Elephas maximus indicus: one gene and its partners. The protein of the gene in region 2 interacts with the protein of the main gene of each other region in a pairwise test. Links are inferred from orthologs where the notes say so. Each region holds a gene or a part of one and is shown on either strand. Other genes may lie near its edges.

Region 1 (7,239 bases), on a different chromosome or scaffold from region 2:
GCTACATAACTAATAAGGTTTTGCTGGTATAGGGCAGCGGTGGGAATGAACAGCAAGAGACCTCAGTTCTAGTGCTGGGGCTGTCACCTCAGTGCAATGGAATGAAGCACTGTTTTTCTGGACATCACTTTCTTCACCTCCAAAATGAGATGATTAAACAATCATTAGGTTGTTTCGAGATCTGACATTCAATGGTAGTGTATATTCAAATCTATGATCAGTTCTGACTTTCCCTTCTTTCTCAAGGAGGTAGTAGGGGCACTTGCACTAAAGGTCCCTTAAGAAATCCTGGCCTGTTCTTGTTGGGGCTGGGAAAACTGTCTACGCTAACATTGACTTCCATGGCACAGAGCCATAAGTATGTGTACTATGCAACATTCAGGATATCATGACCAGATGTCAATGACAACAGGTTCAATGGCAGCACTTCCCCTCTCTATCCTTGGGCTACAAGGGGGAAAGACGGAAGAGGCTGTTTAGCTAGTGGGAATTTTCTTCGACTTAGAGCTCAGGTGGGGAAGTCTCTCATCCCAAATGTAACCCTATAGGACAGCGTATAACTGCCCCATAGGGTTTCCAAGGAGCATCTGGTAAATTCAAACTGCCCGGCCTTTTGGTTAGCAGCTGTAGCTCTTAACCACTATGCCACCAGGGTTTCCTCCCTTCCCAAAGCCTTGCTAAATGAACAGCAGGACCCCTAGAAGGGCTCATGGGCAAAGCCTCTTCTGAACCATGCCTTAGCAACACCTATAAATACAGATTCAGGGGAGGACAAAGGGCATTAATCAGGCACCCTGGGATTCATTCCCTCTAGTTCTCCCCCATTTCTCTCTGTGCCAGGCCTTCCTACAGAAATGCACTAAAATGCTGGGAGTCACCCTACTCATTAGTTGAAAACTAAGTGATGACTAGTCAATTTGGTCAAAATGGTGGACCCAGCTGTGCTTTCAGAAATCACTATATTATTGTGTGCTGTCAAATCGGTTCCAACCCCTAGTAACCCTATAGGACAGAGTAGAACTGCCCCATAGGGTTTGCTAAGCTGAAACCTTTACAGGAGCAGATTGCCAGGTCTTTTCTCCCATGGAGCAGCTAGTGGGTTCCAACTGCCGACCTTTCAGTTAACAGCTGAATGCTTAACCATTGTGCCACCAGGGCTCCTTGAAATCACCAGTTATATCCATGTACATACATGCACACCAAATGCCTTTTTCCTCTTGTACAGACACGAAATATTGAACACTGTAAGCACCAATCCAGGTAAATGCTCCTGATCTGAATGAAAATAATCCCACAGGAGCAGTCTTTATGCTATAAGTCTAGACTGAAGATGAAAACTCTGGGAGGGCTACAGGTAGGCCAAGACAGAATCTCCCTACTACAAATATTCAGGCAACTGGAGCGGGATTTGATTTGAGGTTTGCTGAGGCTAAAAATGCCCTGGTTTTGGTTGGATGTTATCACTTCAAATCTCTCCCTCCATGTACCATAGGTATACAATTTAGAATTTCTATTAAATTCAGCCAGTATTCAAACAAGTAGCTCTTGTGATCAAACATCTAAGCTTCTAAATGGACAGGAGAAAGAGATGTGTTATTTAACTCATTGCAACTTTGCCTTTCAGACTTGAGTTTTAATTTGCTGTTTTTTTTATGATGGGGTAGCCACTCTTAACACCCCCCAAAAGCCATTTTATAAATGATCTCTTCCTTATTCTCCATAATATACTTCTGCTCCCTCTAGGATATTAGAATTGCCAGGACAACTTGCTGTACATGAGGTTACTCACATAACGATAACGCTATATAAGCTTGGCTCTCACCCAATGCATTCATCTAGGAAAGTATTTCACTTTCAGCTTTTAGTCTAGGTTACACAATTAGAAACTTTTGCTTCAATTGTCTTGTCACTTGCAACAAAGAGAATTTTCTGGATTTGGGTTCTTCTGGTTGACTCATGATAAAATATGTGTATGAGATACTTTCCTATATGAAAACATCAGAGAACAGAGCTGGGGGGAGTGTATAAATTATGAAAATGATCGCAAATGCTTTAACTTCGTTAGACTTGTTCCTATAAAAGTCAAAAGCTGCAAAACTCAATGCCACATCAGGAAACAGGAGCACCATTCTAGGGCCATTACCACCTACTCTATGTTGTTCTCTAAAATGCTTACACTGTAAATGCTTGTTGAACCCCACAATGAACAGGAACAGGCCACTCCCAACCACTCTGGAAGCCCCGTGAGGAAAAGAAACTGCCTTTAAGTTTTTATTGCTAACCTTCCTGCCCCAAAATCAAGGCACACAATAGGTATTCAATAATCATTAATTAACGTCTCATCTTCACAGAAAGCTAAACCTAACGGGTGCAGGAGAAACAGCAAACAAGGGATGAAACATTTTGCACTGTAGAGTATCTGCTGAGAAATTGAGGCTGTGAGGAAAAAATGTGCGAGTATGAAGGTCACCCAGTTAAAGAAAAAGCTGGGGTGTGAAAAAGCTACTGTACTTAAAATGTGCACTGTTCATATTTGTCAGATAATGGCCAACATTTTCTAAAATCAAGGTTTACCAAATTGGACTTCGTTTGACTCATTTACAGTACAAAAGGGCTAATCTTCTTTGACATGCTATTCAAAATGTGAGGGTTTCTTTCTTCCTCCTTTTTTTACCCTTTGAACATAATCCACTTAGTTCCCATTCCCAGAGCACCTCCCAAATAGCGGCAGAGGGAGAGCTCTGGGAAGCCCTTGTTGAGGCACTTAGCGGAACTTTGTTCTCCACATGGGCTATTGAGAAGCGTCTCGGTTTCCTCGGGTGACTCCACATTCTCCCTCACTCTTCTCACGCTGCGACCAGGAGTTAAGGGTGGTGAGATTCTCCTAGGCGAGCCGAAGAGGCGCTGACCATGGTGCTGGCCTCCGATCTCGGTACCCGAGAGCGACAGGCGCCCAAGAAGGTGCAGCCAGAGAGGGCGCAGAGCGGGCAGGGAGCGGTGGTCGGAGCCCCGACCCCTCCCGAACCCGAGGGAACTCACGGGCCTTCACGCGAACCCCTCCTCCGCACGCTCCGAGCTGCATCAAAAAAGGGTGGGGCACCCAGCCACAGCTGCAATCGGAAGCCGCCCGGGAGGATTTAAGAAGAATGAAACCGCGGCCCACTCCCCTCCGCGCAACCCCGGGCCGGGAATCAGCCAGTCCTTTACCCCCCCCCATCCCCCACCTCCCAGATCCAGAGAGGTGCGGGCAGCCTTTGTGGGCGTACAGCCGCCCACCGACGAGCCTCTCCGCACCCTGGGCGGAGAAGGGGCAGGTTGGGTGGGGTATGTGTGCATATGCAGAGAGGCAACATTAAAGAAGGAGCAGGAAAGAGGGTACCCTTGGATTCTCGGGTCTCCACGGAGCCGGGAGGGAGAGGCAACTCCCACACGCCCCGTCCTTCATCTCCTCCGCCCTCCCATACCAACCTGGTCGTTGATGTTCTGCAGGGCTTCCTTGCCCGAGGCCCGACGGATCTCCACCTTCCGGCTCGATTCAACAGATGGCTCCCCGCCGGCACGCCGGCCCTGCCGGGAGTACGGCGGCTGCGGGTCGGGGCCCAAGTGGGCGACGTCCCGCTGCTGAGCCACAACCTGCCCCGAGCCCCGGCCCACCGACAGCGAGTCGAAATCGATGGTTTTGTTCTCCGAGGACCCTTCCACCGGGCAGAACATGCCACAGAATTTCTGTCGGGGCTTGGGGCTGCCTGAGCCCAGCTTTTTAAAAAAGGCAGGGACCTCTTCGTCCTCTGCCTGCTTCCCGGATTGCTTCCTCTCAGCCATGGCGCGATGGCTTGGGGAAGGGTCCTCTTCCTCCGTCTGTCTGTCTGTCTGCCAGTCCCTAAGTCTCCCACTATCTGTGCAAAAATCCCCCGCTGCTGCCACGGATGTCTCTTTCTGCCTAAGGCAAGGTGTACAGAAAGGAAGGAGGGCTTTGGAGCGGGCTGTCTACCCCTCCCAGCCCCTCCCCCTGGCCCTGCTTTCTCCCCCTCCCTGCCCACGCCCCCAGCCTCCGCGCAAGCTCCGGCGAGCGGCGAAGTTAGGCCGGGGAGGGCGGCCGCTGCGGCTGCGGGAGCCGAGAGGCAGCCTGTTCCCTGCAGCTGCGCTAGGAGGGGGGGCGCGGGGCGGGGCGCCGAGGAGGGGAGGGGAGGGGAGGGGCGGGCCACGCCATCTCGAGCCCCACGCTCCGGAAGTGAAGCGGCCAGACCACCGGCTAACGGTTGCCGAGTGCGGGGCCTGATGACCGCTCTCCGGCGCTAGGGTAAGTAGAGGGGCTGGGTATGCGTAGGCGACGACCCGAAAACGCAGCCCCTGGTCCCCTGCCCTCCTCTCCCCCACCTGCCTGGCCCAGGCGCCTCTCCCTCTCACCGCATTGCGGAGATGGAACCGCGGGCTGGGGGCTCCGCGGGTTGGGATCCCTCCCCTTTCCCGGGGTATTTGCTGATGGATGGGGAAAAGGAGACAATCTGGCAGAAGTCAGGACAACTGGGGGGCGTCAGTGGGAATGGGGAATGGCAGGCGGTGCGGAGAATAGGGTGCCATCCGAGGCGCGGAAAACCAAAGCCCCAGTCACCCACGGGCCTTGGTGGGCTGCGTGGAGCAAGGATGAAGCGAGAACATTCTTGCTTGGTGTATCCCCAGGGGTGGGGGGTGCACAACGTGTTCAGAAGAAATGCAGAGGGGCGTAGCAAATGAGGAGGTATAAAGAGAGACTTAAGCCTGTGGTTTATGGGAGTTTTAGCAAGGAGTGCAGTCTGCGGATTCCAGTGCAGCCACTTGTAAAGACAGAGAGGGTGTAGACCCGCTACATTGCCTGAGGGCCCCATGTAATATTTCTGCGCCCCTGCGCCAAGAAGGGCCAAGGAGAGTGTCTTGATTTGATATCTTCCACCGCCCCTCTCCAAAGGGGAAAATACGTAGAATAAAGCCCACTCCCTAAATCTCCAGGCCTTCCTCACGCCCGAGCACCCCGCCTAGTCTCCCCCGCCCCTGTTGCGCACTGCGCCAGAGCAGGGCCAGACGCCACGTGCTTGTGGTGTTAGTGTGTGCGCATCCGCTGGGGACTAGGAGGCAGGGTGCGCACTGTGATAGAATGCAGAGAATTGCGTTTGGGGACAAGAGGGGCAACTGTGTGGAGGTGTGGTGTTTCTATGGGGGTGTTTCAGCCGTGACCACCGGGTCGGTAGGCATTCAGGTGTCATTTTGATTTGTGTCAGTAACGCCGTCGATGCTTACTCTTCTTGTCCTCTTCTTACCGTATATCAATCTCTGCTTCTGATCGAGTGCAGCCCCCCTCTTTTCCTACAGTGGCAAAATTTTGCGAAAATGATGCCCACCCATCCGAGGCTCAGAAGGGAGATCTGGCCTTGCTCTGTGACCAGGGCGGGTTTGGGCTAAGAGGCGATTTCCCGCAGCGTCACCACGCCAGGCATTACGGGCCAAGGATTCAGTACCGTTGTCAACCCTTGTCCCTGGAAGGATTAAATGTGGATCCCCCACCCCTATTGTCAGTGATGGTTTGGTGAATGGGGTTAAATTTGGAGGACGACTAGTCACAGTGTGAAGATGAGCCCATCATAGGTGGGAATGAACCTCAAAATGAGGAGGGGAGAATGAAGAAGAAGAATACACATATGGAGCAGGCGAGAGACCCCCATAGGCAGGTATTCCGGATTTAGCATCAGATAGACTTCTTTTGAACTAAATGCTTTCACGTGAATTACGTTATTACCTACTCACGGCAGCCCTGTTAGATAAATGGGACAGGTTTATTGTCACTATTTTCCAGGTTAGGAAACTGTGATTTAAAAGGATTGAGGGACCTTGGCCAGGGTGACCTATCTAGTTAACTGATGCAACAGTTCCACTGGGGGTCTTCCATCTGAAAATCTGTTCCTTTTCCAGTTTATCCTATTGGTTCTGTTGATGTGAGAAAATATAAGGTTTTCACTTTTTTTTTTTTCCATATCTAAGTACTTCCATCCATGGCCCTATTGGATACCAAGGGTGTTTCACTTGCTTTTTTTATTTGAAAGTCACATTGCAGGTAGGAGCTCACGTCCTTGGGGCTCCTGGGGATAGGAGTAAAATAGCATTTTGTTTTCCTGGCCTTTTGGCACTTATGGTGCCTTCAGCACCTCCTAGAAGGACTCAGGAGATGTACCTGCAACAGGAGCAGCTGCTGTTCTAGCTACAGGTTGGTATCATAGCATATGGACCTTCCTCAGATTGATGGAGATTTTCATGCCAAGGGGAGAATGATTGTAGCACCCTAACGTGTACTCCAGCAACGCTGACTGGGAGGCATCACTCTTCCGACTTTCTATTCCCAGTCTCCACAGGCTTTCCAGGACAAGCTCAGTAGATAGGCTTCTTTTTGCCTTGAATGACCCATTTAAATTCAAATGCTAGGAGAAAAAAGTGTTGTGATAGTAACCATTCATAACAAAAGAAATGCCAAAGACTAACCAGACGTAGCAAAAAAGAATTAGTCCATGATTCCAAGTTTAGTGTATTTGGCCCTAAGATTTTCTTTTTCTAAATGCTATCTATATATTAAATTATTTTTAAATGTTTGACCGATTCCTAACTGGGTATTTTTTAATCAAAGAAAGGAAGCAGTTCAATAGCTGTTTAGTAGAGCTAGCTAAATCGTGAAAGATTGTCATATTTTTAATAAGTGTAGAAACAGTCTTTATGACTGCATATTATTGAGCTATAAAACCACATGATTTTTATGTGTAGCAGGACATCTTGACTTGGCTGGAGCTAAGACTCAGAGACACCATCGTGTGGAGTTGGGTGACATCATCCTATACTAGAAGCTGAATAAGCTGTTCACTCTCAAGGAACATTCTGGAACATATAAACAGGTATTTAGCCACATCTTTTGATTTCATCCCTTATGTGGGAAAAATCTTGGATCTTGTCCAAAAGTGGGGTTTAGACATTGATTGACATGTCTGATGAGCATATGCTGGGGAAGCTGTATTTCAGAGGGTCCCCAAGAGAAAATAAAAAAGTCACTATAATCAAAGAAGAATTCTTGACAGAGTGGGCTAGACACAGGTACAATGTAAGACAAAACCCCTGGTCTACCCCCACTTCCTTCCCAAACTAGAATATGTATGCTTCCTGGTATGCTTCAGTGGTAAAACTGAAAATTGTTTCACTAGGAGTCCAAGTCACGCTACTGTGAGA
Region 2 (7,799 bases):
TCAGAGTTGTAAGTAACTAGCCCCGTCTCAAAGTGGTGAAGGTAGGAACTGATCTCAATTTATGTGATTTCAGAGCCCCAGCTCTTCACTTACATATTGCCTCTCAACGAGAAATAATCTCTATTTCCTCCAGACTTTCACAGAAATTTACATGTTACTTTTTGAAAACTCTCCTCTTTCTACTTTGTATTCTATTAGGCTCGTTATATACAACTAGATTTTAAGTTCTTTGAAATCAAGATTCACGTATGATTCACCTCTGTATACTCCACAGTATCCAGGGTTGAGGTTTGCAAAAAATAAATGTCTAATATGGTAAATACTTATGAAAGGAAGCAAGGTGGTTCAGCTCATCCTTAGAAACCAGACAAGCGTCTAGCTCTTCTCAGACACGGACTCAAACAATATACATTGAATCAACAAGTATCATGTTATTCAACTTTTTCTCAACAGTGTTAATACGGTTTATCCTATTAGTTACCACACAGGGACCAAGCAATGGAACAGTTAGTAACTGAGCCCAAATCCACTAAGCCCACAATTTTAATTTATAAACATTCTGGCAAACAACTTCCTAAAATACTTTACCTAGATCTTTTCTAAAATGTAGACTAGTCAAATATGAATTAAAAAGGGTATTTCTTTTGTTCTTCATAATCATACTCACCATAACAGTCTAGCATCAGCAGTAAGGCCCGCAATTGAAATACCAATATGGTTATCAACATGGAGAATTTTTTTCTGATGAGCTGCAAGCTCTGACTGTGCCCTCTAGAGACATTATAAGACAAAAAGGCAAGTTTATGATGAAATAAGCAAACATACAGAAATAAAAGATTATTAATGGTTACAAGGGTAGGAAGGAGAGGGAAAGGAGGCACTTTGGTTTTGGGGGGGCACTGAGTTTATATTAAGGGTGGTGGAATTCTTCAGAAAAGGGTAGTGATGATGGTGGCACAATGTAATCAATGTCACTAAATTGTACATGGGGAAGCTGTTGTATTGGCAGATGTTTTGGTGTGCATATTTTACCACAACAATGAAAAAAAAATTTATGACTTTATTGTCTATACAGTGAAACTTATGTTTGGTAGTTCTGTTTCTAAAGGAGAAGGACATATTTATTGTTTTATTCACCTTCAATGCTACCAACACTGCATGGGTTTTTGATTTCAGACCAACTGTGGCTGAACCTTGTTTGACAGCTTCCATTGCATACTCAATTTGATGAATCCTGCCCTGAAGAGAAAAAAACGACACATCTTAGAGTCATGTTAGAAGACTATTACAAAGTAGAAGTTATTGTGGAGCTTCCAATCTTCAGGTGAGCATTGTTAAATCTCAAATGATTTTTTTTTTTAAACCAGGAAATATTTAACGAAAATTTTAAGTTCCAGAAATATCTAAAATGATTATATTCCATGTTCTCACAGCATACAATCTCATAACTTTCTAAACATATTGTAGCCACCAAAAGCCACTTCATAGAAACGGCACATGACTTATTTTACCTGAGGGCTCCAAACAGTGACATCATTGTCATACTGGTTGCGAAACTGAAAGTAAAAGAAAAAAGATTTATTAATTAAGAACATTACAAATCCCAATTCTCAATATGCTGTATCATTAAGAAATGTTCACAGATACGTTTCCATTCAACACAAACACAATGTTGTTAATACAACCTTATTGTAAGATTACTACTCTACTCAGTTGCAAGTCAATTTTACATACATTTGTCTTGGAGGGGAGTGTGTAAATCTGGATGGGTCATGGTTTCCCAACTTCCTATTCTACCACTCTCCATAGCACTCCCTTTCCAAGCCAAACCAAGCCCGCTATTATCAAGTTGATTCCAACTCATGGCAACCCCACAGGTTCAGTCAATTATTAAAGTTCATACAACTTTTTGGGAAGCGTCCAAGTCAGATCCCTATTTTCTCTTCTCTCTTCCCCATATATCTTTGTGTATGCTGTCCCCTTATACTGGACTCTAAGATATGGCCCATACCCTTCCTCTTCTTTAAACTAGCTCAAAGTCTCTTCCTTGAAGTCTTCTCCATCTTTTCTCCAAAAATCTTTCCAATGCAGACTCTCATAATTCTTTACCTACACTTCCCTTTTTACCTTATATTCTGATTAGGGACATACCTGATTTATATTTGAACCATCACGGCACTTAAAACAGTGTAGTGTGCATACATTCATATTGAATAAACAGAAAACTGTCCTCAGAAGTTGGAGGTGGATGCAAATAAGTGCAATAACAGAATTATTACTGCTGTAATGACAGTATTGACAAATTTATCAGCACAGTCCTTGACAGAATAACCATGGGGTGAGAAGGCTGAGCGCTGGAAAGGCAAACATAGTACTGTAACCCTGATTCCATCACTTTCCCTCTCATTTATTGAACTAGGTGATTAGAAAAGTGACTGAAAAGGGCATTTTCTGACTGAGTCGCAGGGGAGAGTAAATCACACAGGCCTACCAGGAAAATGGGCGCAGTCCTGGAACCCAAATCCTGGGGTCAAGTCCTCACTGGAGGTACTGGAAAGCCTCCAAATTAAATCCCTATTTTCTCCTCTCTCTTCCACAAACAGCATAAAGGGCCACTCTGGATTACTCGGAATCTACACCAGCGAAGGACTCTGAGGGGCAGACTCGGGTAGGAGGTGTTCAAAGTCCCGCGGGAAACGAAATAAACGCCCCGGAGTAAAGGCCGCACCGACTACCGACAGCTCCTCGCCCGGCCTGGCCGGAGATGCTGAATCACTGTCTAGGCTCTCCCGTCGGCTGAGGCTCCCGAGACCCCGGGGTGCTCAAAGCGTGACAGGAGAAGCGACTTGCCATCCCCCAAGATATCGGACCTCTACCCCAACCCTGCAGCGGCACGGGACCCAACGTACCATGGTTCCAGCTCGGGCTTTGCGGCGGCCTCTGGTAAAACGGCGGATCAAACAGCGCGGCCGAAACTATCGCTCGGCAATCGACAGAGAAGACTACGGGATTTGGGTGCTACGGCGCAGGGCAGGGCAGGGCAGGGCAGTCTATTCCAGAGACATCGATAGGTTCCTGATGCGTGCGGGCCCTCAAAGCCTGCAGCCTCCCTGGGGTGGGCGGGGCCTTAGAAGACAGAGGAACCGAGATTGGCGGGAAACCCTCAATCGAAAGTGCCCCGGGCGGCTAAGAGCAGCGAAGCGACCTTCACAACCTGGGCCTTCCTGGTGCCTTGGTGAAAATTTTCTGTGTTGCCGATTCCCTCCAGTTTCACCCGCCCGAGCGAATACACATGAAACCTCTGGAAACGACTGCTGCAATTCCTCTAGATCCTCTCATTCAGCCTCCACAGAGATTGGGTGTTGTGTGACTGTGAGAAGAATGAGGCTGCCAGAAGGACCACAAAACAATGGTCCCTTTGTGTGTGTTAGCCACGGCCTCCCTCTAGTGTCTTGTGTATGTACGGGGCTTTTCTTTCTCTTTAGAATACTCTACCCTATTCTCTGGAGAACTCATCTTTCAAGCCCTGTTGTCAGTTATCACTTTTTATTTTAAGTATTGATTTCTCCCACCAGGCTTTGAACTCTATGAGGGCACTAAAGTCTTTCTGAGCCCTCAGAACCAGGCACGTTGCCTGGTAGAGTAGGCTGCTGAGAAAACGTGGATGTTTTCTCTTTTGAGATCGTTTTTTGATAAATCTTTAAATGAAGTGGGTTAAATAGCTTTGGAAATACCTAACATGTGCACTGATAAAGGGGACTTTTACTTTCTTCCTTAAGGTTGAGCCCCGAGACTCAGGAAAGGTGAGTTGAAAGGGACCTTAAGGATCCTACAGGCCACTCTGAAGTTCACGGATGAAGTAACAGGTTCAGAATATTTAAATGATCCCCTCAAGTTCACAGCAATTTAGTGTCAGAACCTAGGTCCCATGCCCTTTCCTAGGTCAGCAAGTTTGTCTTCATTTTGTTTAAGTGCTTTCAAGTGTCCTTTCTTTAAACAGTCTCACTGCTGTTAAGAATTTCAGTATACTTTTAAATGTTTTCTTATTTCGAAAATAAAACAAGATCATTGTAGAAAATCTAAAATAAAATGAAAACTTCTGAATTCCACCACTCAAAAATAAGCACTGTGAATTTTCAATATTATTTGAGGTTTCGTTTTTAATTCTTTTTATGTACATATATTTATTATATTTTACAGCATGTGATAACACTGAACACACTCCTTTAAAACTTTTTCCACTTATATATTGTGGCTTTTAACATGGGAACATGTTAAACATGACTCCGGAGTCATTCTGCATTACGCTATTTTATTTATCAAAATCCCTAGAGTTGAATATTTAATTTTCCCCCTCTCTTCCATAAGCAACTCATCTATGGGTTGCTGTATACATATATATATATATATTTGTGTACATCCATGCTCTTTTCTTTAGAATAAGTTCCTAAAAATAGAATTGTATGATCAAATGAAATAGACATTTTTAAGGCTTTTAATAAAAGCTCTAAATTGCCCTCCAAAAATGTTTTCCCAGTCTATACCCTCGACATAGTGCATGACATTGCCTTCCTCCTTAACTCACCAATACTAGTTGTCATTAAAAAAAAAAAAATACTGTTAATTTAATGGATTAAAGTAAGATTTTAACTCATAGTTCTTTGATTTGTAGTGAAGCTAGCCATTTTTTTCTTGCTTATTTGTAATTTTTTGCAACTTTCTCATCATGGTCTTTACCTGTTTTTCAAGGTGTTTGTCTTTTTCTTTTCAATTTGCAAGAATTTTTTAAAATATTAATGACACTAACTCTGTCATATGTGCTGCATATATACATTTTTCCAAAAGATGAGTTTTTTCCCCTAAATGAAAATATCTTTTTCCTGATGAAAGTATGGTTTCCATTAGACCATAAGCTTTATGAGAGCTTCTTCTCTATTGTTTCCCCAGCACCCAGCATCATACCTAGAATATACCAAAAATCCAGTGCCATCAAGTTGATCCTGACTCATAGTGACCTTATAAACCTAAAACCCATTGCCATCTAGTAAAACTGGCCTATAGGGTTTCCAAGGCTGTAATCTTTATGAGAGGGGACTTCCACATCTCTCTCCCATGGAACGACTGATGGGTTCAAAACACTGACCTTTCAGTTAGCAGCTAAGCACTTAACCACTGCACCATCAGGGCTTCTTGCCTAGAATATACTACATGCTTAATAAATATTTGCTGAATGGATAGATAATAATATCAAATGCATGATTAAATAAATGCTCATTTTAAAATTGACTTACAGTACAGAAACATTTTGAAAATCATTTTTCACTTACCTATGTATACTTATGACTCACACAGAGATATAATAAACATACAATTTTTTTCACAGACAAGATCATACTAAGCTCTTCCATACTAAAAAAAAATAGCACACTTAAAAAGTTATGGCCATCTTTTATGTCTATATTATTTTCAATAGTCGTATAGTATTACACCGAGTGGAAATGCAGTAATTTACTTTACCTACTGGTGAGTAGATTATTTCCAAACTTTTGCTGTTATAGATAATGCTATAATTCTTGTACATTCACACATTTTGAGTACTTTCCTGAGTACTCAAGATGTCATCGAGTCGGTTCCAACACATAGCGACCCTAGGTACAACAGAAGAGAACGCTGCCCGGCCCTGTGCCATTCTCACAATCATTGCTGTTTCAGCCCGTTGTTGCAGCCACTGTGTCTGTCTATCTCCTTGAGGGTCTTCCTCTTTTTCGCCAACCCTCTACCAAGCATGATGAACTTCTCCAAGGACTGGTCCCTGCTGATAATATGTCCAAAGTATGTGAGATGAAGTCTTGTCATCCTCGCTACTAAGGAGCATTCTGGCTGTAATTCTTCCAAAACAGATTTGTCTGTATAAACCCATTGCTGTCAAGTCGATTCCCACTCATAGCGACCCTATAGTACAGAGTAGAACTGCCCCATAGGGTTTCCAAGGAGTGGCTGGTGGATTCAAACTGCCGACCTTTTGCTTAGCAGCCAGCTTTTAATCAGCAGTCCGTGGTGTACTCAATACTGTTTGCCAACACCATAATTTAAAGGCATCAATTCTTCTTCAGTCATTCTTACTCATTGTCCAGCTTTCACATGGATATGAAGAGATGGAAAATATCAGGGCTTGGATCAGAACCGCCTTAGTTTTCAAAGTGACATCTTTGGTTTTTTTTTTTTACACTTTAAAGCGATCTTTCGCAGCAGATCTGCCTGGTACAATATGTTGTTTGATTTCTTGACTGCTGCTTCCATGGGTGTTGATAATGGATACAAGTAAAATGAAATCCTTGACAACTTCAATCTTTTTCTGTTTATTATGATATTGCGTATTGGTTCAGTTGTGAAGATTTTCGTTTTCTTTATGTTGAAGTATAATCCGTACTGAAGGCTATAGTCTTTGATCTTCATCAGTAAGTGCTTCAAGTCCTTCTCACTTCCAGCAAGCAAGGTTTTGTCATTTGCATAATGCAGGTTGTTAACGAGTCTTCCTCCAATCCTGATGCCCCATTTTTTTTCTTCATACAGTCCAGCTTCTTGGATTATTTGCTCAGCATACAAATTGAATAATTATGGTGAAAGTATACAAACCTGACTCACACCTTTCCTGATTTTAAACCAAGCGGTATCCCCTTGTTCTGTTCGAATGATTGCCTGTTAGTCTGTGTATAGGTTCTGCATGAGCACAATTAAGTGTACTGGAATTTCCATTCTTCGCAATGTTATCCATAATTTATTATGGTCCACACAGATGAATGTCTTTGCAATAAAACACAGGTAAACATCTTTCTGGTATTCTCTACTTTCACCCAAGATCCATCTGACATCAGCAGTGATATCCCTTGTTTCAAGTCCTTTTCTGAAACTGGCTTGAATTTCTGGCAGTTCCCTGTCAATGTACTGCTGCAACCATTTTTGAATAATCTTCAGCAAAATTAACATTTGCATGTGATATTAATGAAATTTTTCTGTAATTTCCACATTCTGATGGATCCACCTTTTTTGGAGTGGGCACAAATATGGATCTCTTCCAGATGGTTGGCCAGGTAGCCGTCTTCCAAATTTTTTTAGCATAGATGAATGAGCACTTCCAGCGTTGCATCCAGCTGTTGAAACATCTCACTTGGTATTCCGTCAATTCCTGGAGCCTTGTTTTTCGACAATTCCTTCGGTGCAGCTTGGACTTCTTCTTTCAAGTTTTTGATCATATGCTACATCCTGAAATGGTTGAACATTGACCAATTTTTTTTGGTACAGTGACTGGATATTCCTTCCTTTTTTTTTTTTTTTTTGTTGCTTCCTGTGTTGTTCAGTATTTTACCCAACCAAAAACCAAACCTGTTACCATCAGGTCGATTGTAACTCATAGTGACCCTATAGGACCGAGTAGAAATGCCTCATAGGGTTTCCAAGGCAGTAGTCTTTAAGGAAGCAGGTAGCCAGGTCTTTTCTCCTGTGGAGCAGCGAGTGGGTTTGAACTGCCGACCTTTCAGTTGGCAGCCAAGCCCTTAATCACTGCAGCCACCAGGGCTCCTATTTTGCCCATAGAATCCTTCAATACTGCAACTTGAGGCTTGAATTTTTTCTTCAGTTCTTTCAGCTTGAGAAATACTGAGCTTTTAAATCAGGTGGGATATAGTCAAGGTCATACTTTGGCTCTCATGGACTTGTTTTAATTTTCTTCAGCTTCAACTTGAATATGAGCAATTGATGGACTCTTCCGCAGCCAGCCTCTGGCCTAGTTCTTATGGATG
Region 3 (7,385 bases), on a different chromosome or scaffold from region 2:
TAGGTGTTGAAACCAACATGACGGCACCTACCAACTACTGAACAAAAAGTGTTAACCTGACTGTCCCAAAAAATCCTTTGCCTTCGAGCTGATTCTGACTCATAGCTACCCTACAAGACAGAGTAGAACTGCCTCATAGGGTTTTCAAGGCTCTAATCTTTATGGAAGTAGACCACCACATCTTTCTCCCAGTGTAGTTGGTGGGTTCCGACCACCCACATTTTGGTTAGCAGCTGAGCTTTTAACCGTGGAGCCACCAGGCCGGTGACACAGAAGGAAAACATGGAGGATGTGGTGCCATGGAAACCAGACTCCAGGTGACCTGGTGCTGCTGGTTAGGAATGTATGGTCCACGGTAAGGTTTAGGGTTGGGCCTAAATACTAATTAAAGCTGCAGGAAAATATTTTACCAATGTAATACAGATAGCAAACGTACATTTTTATTGTAACAGACACAACAATTCAGACAAATTACAAAGTCGATAAAAGCATTACTAAATTGAGACTGTGTTGGCATCTCCTGTCTGAAGGGGAGATGGGAGGGTAGAGAGGGTTAGAAACTGGCAAACCGGTCATGAAAGGAGAGGCTGGAAGGAGGGAGCGGGCTGACTCATTAGGGGGAGAGTAAATGGGAGTATGTCCTAAGGTGTATATAAGCTTATATGTGACAGACTGACTTGATTTGTAAACTTTCACTTAAAGCACAATAAAAATTATATTTAAAAAAATTAGTAAAATATAGGTCAAAGGAGAATAAGAAGTACCAGAAGCTTGCTACCTCTCCATTCTGGGAACATATTTATTTTGAATCACTCTCTTAGGCAGCCTACATGGCCCATTCACAACTAGTTTTAAAACAATGTGCTATTGATGACTCCATGCCAAAAATGCTTTTCTTCTCACCATCCTGTTAAGAGCTTCTCAGTTAGAAAAGCCCTTGGTCATCCTCTTTGGATTTCAGACAACTAGCTGCTTCTTTTGAGAGCCGTCTGAAGGTTCCCTTTTGCAGAAGCAAGGATTCTCTTGTGCAACAAAATCACCCTTCTGTGATTTTTTCCCTTCTGAAACAGACTGGTCTCTGTGCTTCTCTCTGTAGAAAGTATCTGGAGCCGTCCCCCCACCCCCGACATTCTTAGCTGGAAAAAGTAGCCCATGAGCTGTCCCTTTCATACTGTAGGCCTGTGGTGTGGCAAGTCGGCCTCAGATTAATTCAATTAAACACCTCAAGCCGAAACTGTCAAAAGTCTTTTTTTCATGGGCCAGGTTTGTTAATACGATTAACATGTTGTATACAAAGGTAACCATTAAATAATTATAAACAAATAATTTCATCACATAATCCCAGCCGATTTTACATTGCCTGCCAGATACAAAACATTTACTTTAATAAATTTAGTCGGTAATTTACATAAAACATCTGAAAGTGAGGATATTTTTCAAAGCAGCTGCTTATGTGATGTGACTAGTAAAATCTCCCTACTCTCCACCCCTACCCACACACACTATTAGTCATTCTTTTGACTTAATATATTGAAGGCCTCTGTTAAAATTAAAATACCATCTACTAAGGGGGAAACAATGCAGCTATTAAGGTGTTAGGTTGAATTAGTTGACTGAATTCCTTAATTATTTAGTAAGGTCCTGTGTGAAAGGGATACGGAAGCAGGTAAATTTAGGGGAGGGAAAGGAAAGTTTCAAAGAATGGATTGCTGCCTGGGGACGACAGGGCGGGTAAGGCATCCAGGATAGATCTGTGGAAAGCCAGGGGCTATCTTGAAAGCACTGGAAGCTCAGGTCGAGGCCAGACTGCTAACAAGTGAGGGATAGGATGCTTTCTAAAAGACGATAAAGATCATTAGAAGGGAATCTCTCTACTCCCAGTTCTAGCTTTGTTCATGGGTGTTCATGATGAAAGCAGTTACTTCTTCCCATTTTAGAAAATTCTCCAGCTTTCTGTGGGAATCATACCCAGTGAGCTTCAATAAGAATTCTCAGAATTCTGACTCAAGTTTGGGTTCAACTTCTGTCTTGGAGAAGTACCTTTTTCTGATTTTTAAAAAATTAAAAAGCAATGCATGAAGAAATTCTCATTATAGAATATTCAAATAATTACAAAATATATAGAATTAAAACCAAAAGTCCCCTTCCACACGCATTCCAATTCTAGGGTCGCACCATTTACAGTATGCTGCCAGGTTCTTTTCTTTTTTTAAATAATTTATTTTATTTTTGTAGTTGTCGTTGAAAATATACACAGCAAAACACAGACCAACTCAACAATCTCTCCATGTACAATTCAGGGGCACTTATTTTCTTCAGGTTGTGCAAAGATTCTTACCCTTCTTTTCCAAGTTATTCCTCCATCATTGACATAAACTCACTGTCCCCTAAGCTTCCTATCTACCGGGTTATTTTCTATGTATTTTCCTGCATATGTATACATATATATGTGTGTGTGTATATATATATATTTTTAACATGGAGTCCGTGAGTGGTTCAAAAGGTTAGGTGCCTGACTGATAACAGAAAGTTTGGTGGTTCAAACCCACTGAGAGGTACCTCAGAAGAAAGGCCTGATGACTTGCTTCCAAAAGGTCACAGCCTTGAAAACCCTACAGAGCACCAGTAAAACTGAGTACAGAGTAACACATGGGGACATTATGAGTCCAAATGGACTCGATGGCAACTGGTTTGGTTTTGACTTTCTTATTTTACATGAATAGAATAACCTGTATTTGTTGTTCTGTATACTTCATTGTTTTTTAAAAAAAATTTTGAAAAGATAATACATGCACATCATAAAAATTTCAAACAATATAAAAGAGCATATACAATGTGAAGTATGTCACCCTCCTGTGCTTAACCCCCAGGCAAGCAATATAATCCATTTCTTAGAGTCTGTGCATATACAAGCAGATAGGGACAGATCCTCCCCCCTTTTTCACACAAGTGGTAGCAAACCATACACAGCTTTGCACCTTGCTTTTTTTCATTTAACAATATTTCATACATATTATAAATATATGTGTATAAATATATGTGTATGGAGCCCTGGAGGCACAGTGGTCAAAAGATCAGCTGCTAATGAAAAAGGTCAGCAGTTCAAATCCACTAGCCATCCCTTGAAAACCCTCTGGGGCAGTTCTACTCTGTCCTATAGGGTCACTACGAGTAGGAATCAAGTCAAGGGCAACTGTTTTTCTTTTTTTTTAATAAATCAAAATCGGCTCTAGGACAATTTTTTTTCTTTTTTGAATCTTTATGAGCAATGATCACCAGTTCTTTTCTCCCGCGGACCGGCTGGGTGGGTTCGCACTGAAAACCTTTGGGTTAGCAGCATTGCGCCACCAGGGCTCCATATACGAGGAAAGAAAAAAAAAAGAATCTTCGTATTATAATATATATATTGTAATATATATGTAATTATAATATATATATTGTAATATATATGTAATAATATAAACATAACCTTCTTCAGAAACGACAATATTTATTTATCCATCCCCTGTTAGGCTGCATCAGCTGACTTCTGACTTACTAACTTTTACTTCTCTTAGGGCTGGACTTTCATCAGGAGGATAGCTGGCTGTGATTTTCCCCTTGGTTTCCACCTTAGTGTTCTCTAGAACATTGTTTAACAGAGGTATTGGCTGATTACTATTGGTCCCTGACGGGATACACCCAGAGCTACCTTAACTTCTCTGGACTTGTTCCCATCCATGTACAGTAGTGGGAGGTCTATGTGTGTGGGGGTTGTTTCCTTCCATTTTCTCTCCCCCCCTTCTCATTCTTTTGTTCCTTCTTTTTTTTTTCTTTGTCATGTTAAGAGTCTCCTCTTCCTTTCCTCTCCTATCCATCCGGTGAGTGGGGGCAGCATCACTGAACCAACGACAGGTCAGCGGAGACTCTGACTGCAGACCAATGGGGTACTCCCAGGTTCCAGATGGACCAATCAGCTTATTAGGGACATCAAATACCTAGATAGCTGGCATCTGCCCCATTGTCCTCTGAGTAACGACCCTCTTGTGTTGATGGTCAAAGATTTGAAGGTGCAAAAGAAACTTTTTTTTTTCTTTTTCCTTTGGTGGCTTTAATCCATCTCCACAACTTCTGCCCAAGGCCAATAAAACACAGCCATTCTCCCTTTGTAAAAAGAAAGAGGGGTTGGGTTTCCTTCAATTGTCTGCTCCTTTCTGTCTCCTCCACTATTTTTGTTTTATGTACTTTGTAGTTAACTTTACATAGAGCAGCTTCATCCGTGGACCTGTGCGGTGGACCCCATACACTTTCTTCTCATTGCCCATTGCAACAGCCTTTTTGTTCTAACCTGGGGGGTGCTTGTGGGGCAGGGCGGGGGAGAGGGGGGGTGGTGGCGGGTGGGAGAAGAGTTTGGCTGTTGACTTCCTTTGGCATTCCTCACACATTCTGCTCTCTCTCTGTCTCTCTCTCTCCCTCTCACACACAGACAGACAGACAGACAGACACACACCACACACCATACACACACACACACACGCCCGCCCGGGCCCCTCTCGGTGTGTCTTCCTTCAAGATGACAGGGCGCTGGAGAAAAGGCCGCTGGAATCAGCTGGTAGGTACAGTAGTAACCCGAACCCCACCTACCCGCCGCCTTTGCTCGCTCAGGTTTCACCGGTCACTCCTACCTGGGGAGAAAACATATAAATGTGCCTCCAGAGGAGGGGCTGGGGGAGAAGGGAGCGGCGAAGGCGGCGGAAGGTGAGCCTGGGAAGGTGGCCGGGGCCCTGCTTGGTCCTCCCTCGGGGCGTTAGCCCCAGCCCTGTTTGCCCCCACCCACTCCCCTTTTCGAAGGGATTGCCTTTCTCTCTCTCTCTCTGCGGCGGCGGAAATGACAGTGTGGTGCTGCCGTGGTGTCATGGTGCTGCTCCTGGACTGAGAAGCGAAAACTCTTTAAGTTTGGCTCGAGAGATTCAGCCAAGGCAGCGTTGCAGCCGCCGTGCTGTCCCCTGCCGGGCGCGCGGGCAGGCGGATCCCGGCTGCTGCGCGGCGGCGGCGGCCAAAGCGAAGGCGGTGAAGGCGGGCGGCGGCCTAGAGCAGCGGCGGCGGCGGCCCGGGAGCTAGCGCCGGAGCCCGAGCGAGCGCTGCCGAGAGAAGCGAGCGGCCGGCGCCCTCCGTCGCGCCGCCTAGGAGATGGCTGGCACCCGGGAACGCTCTGGGTAAAACGTGCCCCCTAGCCACCGTCCCTGGGGCTGAGCGCCGCCGCCGGCGCAGGGCTCGGCCCGGGCTCCGGCCGCCCCTCAGGTGCCGCCGTGGCCGGGTCGGGCCAAGGGCTCTGGGGCTCGGTGGGGCGGGCTGATCGGGCCGAGAGGCTCGAGGCGGCGGCGGCTCCGGCCCAGCCCTGCCTCCTGGTTGCGACACTGGGACCCGGGCTCCTGCCACTGCCCTCCTGGGACGGGAGTTTGCACTCGGGTGCGGGGCGGGGGCGGCCGAGGCCTCCCGCGCAGCCCGGCTGAGTCGGCTCGGACAGTGGAGCGGCTTCCCCGGCGCCCGGGCGGGAGTCTGGGAAAGGGCACCGCCGCCTTCCCACGCTCCCGCTGCCGGCAGCCTCCTCCGCTCGGGCGGCGCCCCTTGGACGGCTGGCTGCCTGGCGGTGGCTGCCGCAGCAGCCGGGGATGCTGCGGACACCCTGCCGGCGGGAAGGCCAGGCGAAACTTAATCCTTTTTCTGCCAGGGGAGCGAGCAAGCGTCTAGTCTCCGTATGGATGGTTCATTCTTTATGGCCTAGCTGTGAGACCAGGTCTTTAGGGGAGAAGGAAAACTTACATATGTCCACAGGACAGGCTGAGACTGAATTGGAGAGAGGTGGGGTTCTTCCATTCCTGTCTCGTAAGAACTAATAACAGCGGAGTAGATTTACAGAAACATTATTTGTGATGATAAGGTTTAGGCTACTTAGCTTAGCACTTCGTGAGCGGCACATTAGTTTTCGGAGGCATTTCTTCCCAGAGCAGGAAATTGGGATCCTGGGGTCGCTTGGTTCTTCATTTTCCCTCTTCTACACTCCCCTACCTTCCTTCGAGCTCAGTCAGTCACCTTCTTACGTTGTCACACACCAATTTGTCCACCCAAATCTCTCAAATCCAGCGCCCCCCACCCCAGCCTTTCCACATCACCCTGTGCACTCAAGTAACCTCCCAGCCGTGCAGCCTCTTGTTTCTCAACCACTTTGTCTTTTTAAGGATCTCTGACGTGAGGGGTGGATGGTAATAGTTGTGTGCCTCTGAGGTTAAAATAAGAGTTGTTGTTAGTAGTCACTTAGTAGGTTCCCACTCATGGTGACCCCATGCATGTTAGAGTAGAACTATGCTCCATAGAGTTATCAAGGCTGTGACCTTTTGGAAGCAGATGGGCAGGCCTGGAACAGTCAAGTTTCTAGCTACTAGTTGAGAGCTTAACCGTTTGCGCCACCCAGTTGTTGTGGTGGTGTGCTGGGTACTCGATTCCAACTCATAGCCACCCCATGTGACAGAGTAAAACTACCCCATAGGGTTTTTCTAGGCTGTAATCTTTATGGGAGCAGATCATCAGGTCGTTCTCCCTCAGAGCCGCTGGGTGGGTTCGAACCACTAACCTTTCAGCTAGTGGCCTAGGGCTTAATGGTTTCACTACCAGGACTCCCAGAGGGGCCCTTAAAAAGGAATATATTGAAACTGTACATAAACAAGTGCTGTGTGTGGGTTGATTCTTTGGGTTCTCAAATTGAGCCATAAGGGCTGCCTTTAACCCCATTCTGTTCCCTCCCAGAACTGTAGTCAGTTCTCTGGCAATGTTCCAATAATAGTAGGAAGAATGCTGAGTGGGGAGCCCCCCTCTCTTTTCTTCTGTTTCGGGAGCAGTGTTGGGCGGTCCCAGCTGGTTAGCCCCCCCATCCCCTTTACATCGCCTCTCCTTGCACCGAGGGGGAACAGTCTTTGCCATTTTTATATAGATTGCTACCCAATCAATTGACTTAATACAGATATATAAAGTAAATTAGATTTCTCCTGATTACTCCACACAATTTGATTTATGTAGTTGAAATACAGGTCTAGGAGCCAAGAAGATCAGAGAGTTCATCCCAAATCTGATGTTGCATTGGCTTTTATGGCATCCCTGTGACCTTTCTTTCATAGTTGGTGCACTTATGTAAAAGGCATAATATTGTGTACAGAGTATTGTGAGTCTTGGCTGGGTCTTTTGAAGATGAAAGGGTTCTATAAACACTCAGCATTGTACTTTTCGAAGAAAGTACTCCATTTACCTTTTATTGGGATAGTGGCTAGACTGGGTATAAGTAGGAACCCCAGTTTACTGGAAACCATACCTTGGCATTATTAACGCCCTCTGGGAGACACACCTACTGTACT
Region 4 (7,701 bases), on a different chromosome or scaffold from region 2:
GGGTTTAGGTCTCACCGTCAGGAGTTCCCTTGATGACCTCTCATTCTTCTCCTCCAGCTCTGCAATCAGAGTACTGAACCGGCAGATTTCATCAGTGACCAGAAAATCAAACTCTTCTCGTTGCTTCAAGATGTCCCCGTCCAGCCTCTCCAGCTGGGCTAAGAGGATGTTCTGTTGTTCCTCCAGGAACTGGCTCAGATGTGCAAACTCGGAAACTACCTTTTGTCTCTTGGTGGCCACTTGAGTCTGAGGAGGGAGAAGAAGACCCCAGAAGGAAGTTAGTTACCCTCCTCTCCCTCCTCCTCATCGTCTTCTTTTTTGTTTTCCTCCTCTTCCTTTTTCTTCTTTTTCCTTAATTCACTCCCCTCTCTCTCCTGGCCCAGATTCACATCCCCCAGGGGCAATGGTAGAATAAGAGTCCTCCCCTGGTCCCAGATAGATTTGGAACTGCTGACTGTTTTCCTTTCCCCCTACCATCCCATTTCTGGGAGACAGACTGTCTGGCATTGACTCAGCACCATCTTCTAGAACTTCTAAGGGGATAGGACGTAGAGAAGGGGTAGGGGGAGGTGGTGGGGACACCTTTTATGAAGTACGCACTATACGCACAGAGCTAAGCTACTTTACAGGTATATCCTCATTTAATCCTTACAGCAATTCAATGCAGTGACCACTTTTAATCTCCATTTTACAGATAAGCAAACTGAAGTTAGAGAGTTGCTTGAAGTTACATGCCTAGTTAGTGTCAGAGTCAGGATTCAAACTGAGAATGACTCAAAGCCCTATATACTCTTTTGCCTCAGTTTTCAGGGAGACAATGGGCCCTGGGGAAGAGATGGAGTCAAGGAAAGTGGTCCAGAGAAGGAGTGGCGACTTACAAGGAGGACTTGTATCCTTTGGTTTTCTCTTGACTGGATCCCTTGAATCTCCTCTCTCTCTTTCCTTAGGCACACAAGACATTTCTGTATTTGTTCCTGGGGATAAGGAGCATAAAATATTTAAGATGGAAAAAAGTCATTTGTTAAGGGGTATCATTTCATTCAACCCTCTGTCTCCAAGAAGAAAATGGCCCAAGGAAGACAGCCACTCCCTTAGCTGACAATGCCTGGGCCTTAATCATCCTTGATAGTATACTCTCTTTAGGTCTTGTTCCTCTTGCTTTGTCCTTCAAGAATTTTGACCAGGGCTCTTCCTCTTTGTCATGTGCCAGCAGAGGCTATGACTCAGTTTTCCCACTTGAGCTTTCCTTTCTCCAGGTTAAACACCCTAGTTTTTGTTTGCCTTTGGTAAGTGGTTATCTGAGACCTGTCTTGAGCTTTTGAACATGTGATAACCATCTCAAAATTATCCCAAGTTTCTCATATGACCACATATGAAACAGGTCCACATAACAACCCTCCCTTGTGAATGGAATCATTTATCTGTATGATTCTGAAGGGAAGATACTTGAGTAATATAAAAACAATCAATGAATTGCTTTAAAAAATTGTTTGGTCTACAGTAGAGTTAGGAACATAAATGGCCAGGTACATACACATAAATGTACTTTCAAAATACATCTAGAACTCTCAAATGCTAATTAACTATTTAACACATCCACACACACCCAGATGCCCACTTGTACTAAAACACAACACGCAAATAAAAAAGTACATACTTATTTAATAACAGATAAAATTATACACCACATATATTTACCCAACCTACACATGTAAACAATAATTTATTCATGAAAACGAGCACTCAATTACACTTACACACTCAAATACACACATACCCAGACCCCTAACATGCTGTACACACTCATAAACATGCAAACATTAACACATATACACATCATTCATACAACCATTCCCTGAAAACAAACCCAGACACACTCAGACACATCTGCCTGATACATCACCAAAACGCACATTCATATTGTGTTCATTCGTTCATTCAAGTACTTAAAGAACAACCAAACCAGTTGCCATGGTGTGGATTCCAATTCATGGCAACTCCCTGTGTTTCAGAGTAGAACTGTGTTCCATAGGGTTTTAAAGGCTGTGATCTTTTGGAAGCAGATCACCAGGCCTTTCTTCAGAGGTACCTCTGGGTGGGTTCCATCTGTTAGTAGCCCAGTGCTTAATCCACCACCCAGAGACTCCCAACAAGTACTTGTTGAGCTTCCATTATGTGTTGGCCAAAAGTAAACAACAGAACACACTCAAAAACACAAAACATAAACACACCATTGTCCATGACTGGGCTTATTGCCTGGGTGATCATTTAAATAGGGAGAAAGAAACTGGCTTCAGGGTGGCCCAAATAATCCACAAATCTGCCCTGATTCTCTTAGTTCAGCCCAATTGCAGAAGGCCCACCCTGGGAAGCCCCGGCTCGGCTCCTTCCTACCCTGTATGGCCCCGCAGCGTCCTCCAGGAAGCGCACGGTGTGGGCCCGGTGCTCCCCGGCCTCCCGGCACATCACGCACAGATGCATCTCGTCATCCTCGCAGAAGAAGTAGATCTTCTCCCCGTGCTCCTGGCAGGCGTCCTCCTCTGCCAAGCCGGGCGAGGACACCATCTTGAGGCGTTCAATATTGTCCACCACGCTGGCCAGCTGCCAGTTGGGCCGGAAGCCCCCTGGGCGGAAGGGCTCCTTGCAGAGCGGGCAGGTGGGGGGCTCCTCCGGGTCCTGGCCTGGGATCTCGCAGTAGCGGGTGAGGCAGCAGCGGCAGAAATTGTGGCCACAGTCGATGGTGACTGGCTCCCTCAGGGTGCCTTGGCAGATGGGGCAGTTGACCTCATCGACCAGGCTGGTGACGGAGGCGGCTGCCGCCATGTTGGTGCTGCCATGCGGAGTCAGGATTCAAACTTGATCCTCAAGGTCGCCCTCCCTGCTTGGCTGAGGGAGGAGGGCTGGAAAAGCAGCGAGGACTCACACCACACACTCACACAGCTGCCTGTGCACATGGCCAGACACAGGTGCATCTCAAATACGCACCAGCACCCACACAGCCACACACATGGGTATGGTCACAGGGAAGGCCACCCACAAGGACAAAGCTCCCATTTGCCTCCCTTGCAGCTGGTGTTGTTTGGTCCTGGTCTTTTAAAGGAAGAGACAAACACCCGCCAACAGTAGAAGATAGAAAAACAGCAGAGAAAGGTGAGGAAGAAGGGGTCACAGCTTTCCAGGGTGGCCTCATAGACCTGGGCCCATGGCCTGGGGCTCACTGGTCCTTTTCGTTAGAGACACTCACGGTAGCAGGGAAGTGGCGATATCTCAACTGTCTGCTGTTGAAAGAGATATTTCTTCTTTTGGGGGACAGCAGGGAGAAGGGAGAATGGGTCCCGGAGTGGTGATGCCACCCAGCCTCCCTGCAATATGACCAGCTGTCTTGAGGGAGATTGGGGTATCAGCCAGCGCAGGGCTCTCTCGTCAGTATGGGCACTCAGATAAGGTCCTAGTGCCAGGCAACTTCAACGGTGATGCCCCAACTGGCCTATCACAGTCTCTAAATGAGGTTGAGATGTATCCTGGGTGGAGAAGGTGAAAGAAGAAAAATAGTAACAGCATGTATTTATGATGACTGTGACACCGATATAATGAACTTAATCAGATGATCTTACTTGTCCCTCCTGCCAGCTCTATAAAGTAGATGCTATTAGGATCTCCGTTTTATAAATGAGGAAGCTGAGGCTCAGCGAGGTTATTTAACTTGCCCAAGGTTACAGAGCAGGAAGGTGGGTGCCAGTAATTTTCAGGCAAGTCTGTGCATCTCCAGTGCTGTCCAGTAGAAAGATAATGTGAGCCAGATATGCAATTTAAAATGTTCAAGTGGCCACATTTTAAAAAGAAACAGGTGAAATTAATTTTAATAATTATTTTGCTTAGGCCAATATATCCAAAATATTATCATTTCAACAGGTAATCAGCATGAAAATTATTAATGAGTTTTTACATTCTTTTTCATTTGTGCTAAGTTTTTGAAATCCAGGGTGTATTTTACGCTTACAGCACATCTCACATTGGTCTCCCCACCTTTCAACGCTCAGTAGCCACATGTGGCTGGTGGCTCACGTTTTAAACAGCACAGTCCCAGAACTGCCCTCTTGGCAAGACTGTAGGTAGAGTGTCGTCCCTGTTACCATCAAGTTGACCCCAGCTCATGATGTCCCCATGTGTGTCAGGGTAGAACTGTGCTCCATAAGGTTTTCAATGGCTGATTTTTTTGAAAGTCGATTGCCAGGCCTTTCTTCAGAGATGCCTCTGGGTGGACTTGAACCTCCAGCCTTTCACTTAGCAGCCAAGTATGTTAACTATTATCACCACAGTAGTTGGAATGAAAAGGGAGAGAAAACGATGTGCCAGGCTGATCATTTAGTGGGGAACTGGAAGGAGGTATGTTTTTCTCCATGGATCCGGGGTGGCAGGTGAGTGAAGAACCGTGCTGGAAGTGGCGAGTGGATGAAGACCATTGTCGTGGCTTGGAGTGTGATGCCAGCACAGGGATTGAAGCAAGGAGATTTGGATTGTCTCCAGCCTTGGTGCTTTCTAGTTCTGTGGCCTTGGAAACATCACTTTACCTTTCAGTTTACATGTCTTTCTCTGTAAAATGAAGGTAATGATACCTGCTCCAAGGTTGCTGTCAGACTTGTATATAAAAAAACAAACCCACTGCCATCAAGTCAATTCCAACTCATAGCAACCCTATAGTAATATGAAAACACTAAGCCCTAGATAAACGTGGTTGAATCTGTTTGTCTTTTGACTAATTGAGTCTTCTAAACTTTATTAGCATGAATCTATTGCATTATGGTTCCTTGCCTTTGTCTACCGGCAGTTTAGATAAAATCGAAGTCCAATGTGACCCAAACTCTTGTGAGGACAGTGGCGCCTGGGGAGATGAGATGAGGCAAGGAAAGAAGGGCAGAGTAGAGCATCCAGTGAGCAACTCTGAGTACCCCCAGAGTCTCTGGAAGTCAGTCACACCTACTGCAGCTTGGACTTTGCTGCCGTGGGCACGCCTCATTGCCAGAAGTTTATGGCTCTCACCTGCTCAATCTGACAGGAACTGTCCACTCCTTAATCCTTCCCACCCAACTGTGGTAAAGGGAGGGATTCCAGGAAACCTCTTCTCCTTGTGGCCTCACGTCATGCTTTGCTCCCCACCCCTGGGACCGGAAGGAGCCATTATAAAACTGCACGGAAATCAGGCTCCCTTGGCTGCCATTGGTAATGCTGGGTAATTCTAAATACCCTGGAATTTGGACCCACTTAGCTGATGGGTGGTGGCCCAGGAAGGGTGGGCCTTGAGAAGGCACAAGAGGTAGAGCCAGGTGCTTTCCCGTCCTGACGTTCCTGCCTTTCTCTCTTGGCCTCTTATTCCTTTCCTTTGGAGATGCATTTAAAAGTGAGTCAATTTCAGGGAAAGTGAATTCCTGTGGGGAAGGAGCCAGAGGCCTGAAGGGACGGGCTAGGCAAGGAACTGTGATGTCCTCAACCCCCTCCCTGCAGACACTCCGAGAGGGGGCCACCTGTCCTGCCTGCACAGGGCCCCTGAAGGATGCAGTGACTGCCACCTGTGGACACACCTTCTGCCGGCCCTGCCTCCCTGTGCCCTTCCAGATGGGGGCCCACCCCTCCAGCAGGGTTCTGCTCTGCCCCCTCTGCCAGCAGAAGGAGCAGCCAGAGAACCTCATGGTCCCTTTGCCCCTGGGCCCTCTGGGAGAAACCTACTGTGAGGAGCATGGCGAGAAGATTTATTTCTTCTGTGAGAACGATGCGGAGTTCCTCTGTGTGTTCTGCAGGGAGGGTCCCTCCCACCAGGCCCACTCTGTGGGGCTCCTTGACGAGGCCATTCAACCCTACCGGGTAAGCAGTGTGACTTTACCTCGGACATGTTTGGTGCAGGTCAGTGTCCTGCCGGGGGGTGCAGGGAACCGGGTGGGGATCGGGGTGAAGAGAATCCCGAGACTGTAGATATATTTTTATTAGCTGCTGTGGAGTCGGCCCCCAGCTCATAGAAACCCCATGTGTTACAGAGCAGAACTGTCCATAGGGTTTTCCCAGCTGTGATCTTTATGAAAGCAGATCGCCAGACCATTCACCTACAGAGCTGCTGAATGGGTTTGAACCTCCAACCTTTAGGTTGGTAGCTGATTGCAAATGGCACACACTACCCAGGCTCCCCCCTAGACTGTAGGGACACTCAAGAAACTCCCAGGCTGATGGGGGGACATGGTTCCACTTGGACATGTGGGAGTTCATGGTCTTAGGGAGAAATTCAGTCCCAGCCCTGAGAGGACTCCCATCGTGATGGAGCTGATTCAGCCACTTTCCTGTGGGCCCCACAGTGACGCAAAGAATTTCAGCCCTGACTGCACTCACTATGGAAAGAGAGTCCAGTGCAGAACACAAGCCTCTGCAGGCTATGAGCAGGATGCACGTGGTCTTCCCACATTCACCTGAGATACAGGATTTACCCAAACCACTGGGGCTCAGAGGAAAGTGAGGGAAGATGAAGGGTAACCTGTAATCACTGCTCATCTTTGAGAGAAAGAGAGGCACGGCAGCAGCCCAGTATTACAAGAATTTCCCATCTGGTCTTGGGACATTATTCATTTCTCTTTGCCTCTCAGATCTTTCTCTTGTTATCCAGTCACCAGGTCTTGAAGTGGTTTCCTTAGAAACATCTCTTAATGTTTCTCTCTTGAATCTTTAACTTTGCCTTATCGCCACAAAAAAAAAAAAAGCTTGTTGTCATTGAGTTGATTCCAACTCGTGGCGACCCCATGTGTTACAGAATAGAACTGCTCCATAGGGTTTTCTTGGCTGTGATCTTTATGGGAGCAGAATACCAGGCCTTTCTTTCATAGTGCCACTGGGCAGATTCGAACCACTAACCTTTAAGGTTAGTAGTCCATCACAAACCAACCACTGATAAATCCAGGCCCACAGCATCCCTCACCCAGACTTTGTATAATCTCTAATGTGCTCTCTGTCTCCCTTCTCAGCCTTTCCAAGCACCCTCCAATCTGCTGTGAGGCAGAGCTTCCAGCTAGTCCTGTCACTCCCCTGTTTAAAATCCTTCCGTGGATTCGTAATGTCCAAAGAAGGCCCAAAATCTTTAACAAGGCATTCAAGCTCTTCGCACTTGGGTTACTGCTTTCCTTTGCAGTCTCATCTCTTAGCTGCCCTCCCCAAGGCACCACGTGCCCAGCCACACTGAGCTGTACTTGCTGTTTCCTTACTTACCTGTGGGACTCTTTCTTGCTTCTAGTGCTTTCCGTATGTAGTTCCTTCCTCCTAGAATGCTCTTCTCTCCCTCTCTTATCCAACTTCAAATTTATCTTCGCAGGTCCCCTTTACGTGCTTTCTGCTTTCTAAAACCTTCCCTCAGCCCTACAGGCAGAATTGTCACCTCCTCTGCCTCCCATCTCACTGAGTGCTCACCTCTATGATTGCATTCGTCTTTTTGTATTTTAACCACTTATGATTGACTCCTTCCTCAGATGATGATCTCTTTAGGGACAAGGACTGGGCCTTTTTCACTTCAAATCCCCCAGCACCTAACAGTGTGCCTGGAACTTGGTACTCAAAACCAAACATGTTCCCATTAATTCCAACTCATGGCTACCTCATGTGTTACAGAGTAGAACTGTTTCATGGCTGTAATATTTATAGAAGCAGATCACCAGGACGAGGCCTTTCTTC

What was found.
Region 1: the proteins of PSMA1 (region 2) and PNMA2 interact in binary tests that used the Homo sapiens proteins (3 or more experiments, as listed by UniProt). The two-hybrid records come from large-scale screens. The link is inferred for Elephas maximus indicus from reciprocal best matches to the Homo sapiens genes PSMA1 and PNMA2.
Region 3: the proteins of PSMA1 (region 2) and MID2 interact in binary tests that used the Homo sapiens proteins (3 or more experiments, as listed by UniProt). The two-hybrid records come from large-scale screens. The link is inferred for Elephas maximus indicus from reciprocal best matches to the Homo sapiens genes PSMA1 and MID2.
Region 4: the proteins of PSMA1 (region 2) and TRIM10 interact in binary tests that used the Homo sapiens proteins (3 or more experiments, as listed by UniProt). The two-hybrid records come from large-scale screens. The link is inferred for Elephas maximus indicus from reciprocal best matches to the Homo sapiens genes PSMA1 and TRIM10.

What each region holds. Positions count from the first base shown.
Region 1 is NC_064840.1:47,008,529-47,015,767, forward strand, and holds the start of PNMA2 (paraneoplastic antigen Ma2), read left to right. Parts: upstream 1-4,230; 5' UTR 4,231-4,300; intron 4,301-6,783; exon of another isoform or gene 6,784-6,786; 5' UTR 6,787-6,911; intron 6,912-7,214; 5' UTR 7,215-7,239. Other genes in the region: DPYSL2 (dihydropyrimidinase-related protein 2), read right to left, coding at 3,469-3,822.
Region 2 is NC_064825.1:69,851,422-69,859,220, forward strand, and holds the start of PSMA1 (proteasome subunit alpha type-1), read right to left. Parts: upstream 3,020-7,799; 5' UTR 2,913-3,019; coding exon 2,910-2,912; intron 1,557-2,909; coding exon 1,512-1,556; intron 1,240-1,511; coding exon 1,138-1,239; intron 772-1,137; coding exon 668-771; intron 1-667. UniProt on the Homo sapiens protein: Component of the 20S core proteasome complex involved in the proteolytic degradation of most intracellular proteins. This complex plays numerous essential roles within the cell by associating with different regulatory particles.
Region 3 is NC_064846.1:50,053,863-50,061,247, reverse strand, and holds the start of MID2 (probable E3 ubiquitin-protein ligase MID2), read left to right. Parts: upstream 1-4,385; 5' UTR 4,386-4,591; intron 4,592-4,663; exon of another isoform or gene 4,664-4,737; intron 4,738-4,765; exon of another isoform or gene 4,766-5,195; intron 5,196-7,385. UniProt on the Homo sapiens protein: E3 ubiquitin ligase that plays a role in microtubule stabilization. Mediates the 'Lys-48'-linked polyubiquitination of LRRK2 to drive its localization to microtubules and its proteasomal degradation in neurons.
Region 4 is NC_064819.1:89,831,181-89,838,881, forward strand, and holds the start of TRIM10 (tripartite motif-containing protein 10), read right to left. Parts: upstream 3,013-7,701; 5' UTR 2,824-3,012; coding exon 2,395-2,823; intron 975-2,394; coding exon 879-974; intron 247-878; coding exon 16-246; intron 1-15. Other genes in the region: TRIM15 (tripartite motif-containing protein 15), read left to right, coding at 5,479-5,859. UniProt on the Homo sapiens protein: E3 ligase that plays an essential role in the differentiation and survival of terminal erythroid cells. May directly bind to PTEN and promote its ubiquitination, resulting in its proteasomal degradation and activation of hypertrophic signaling.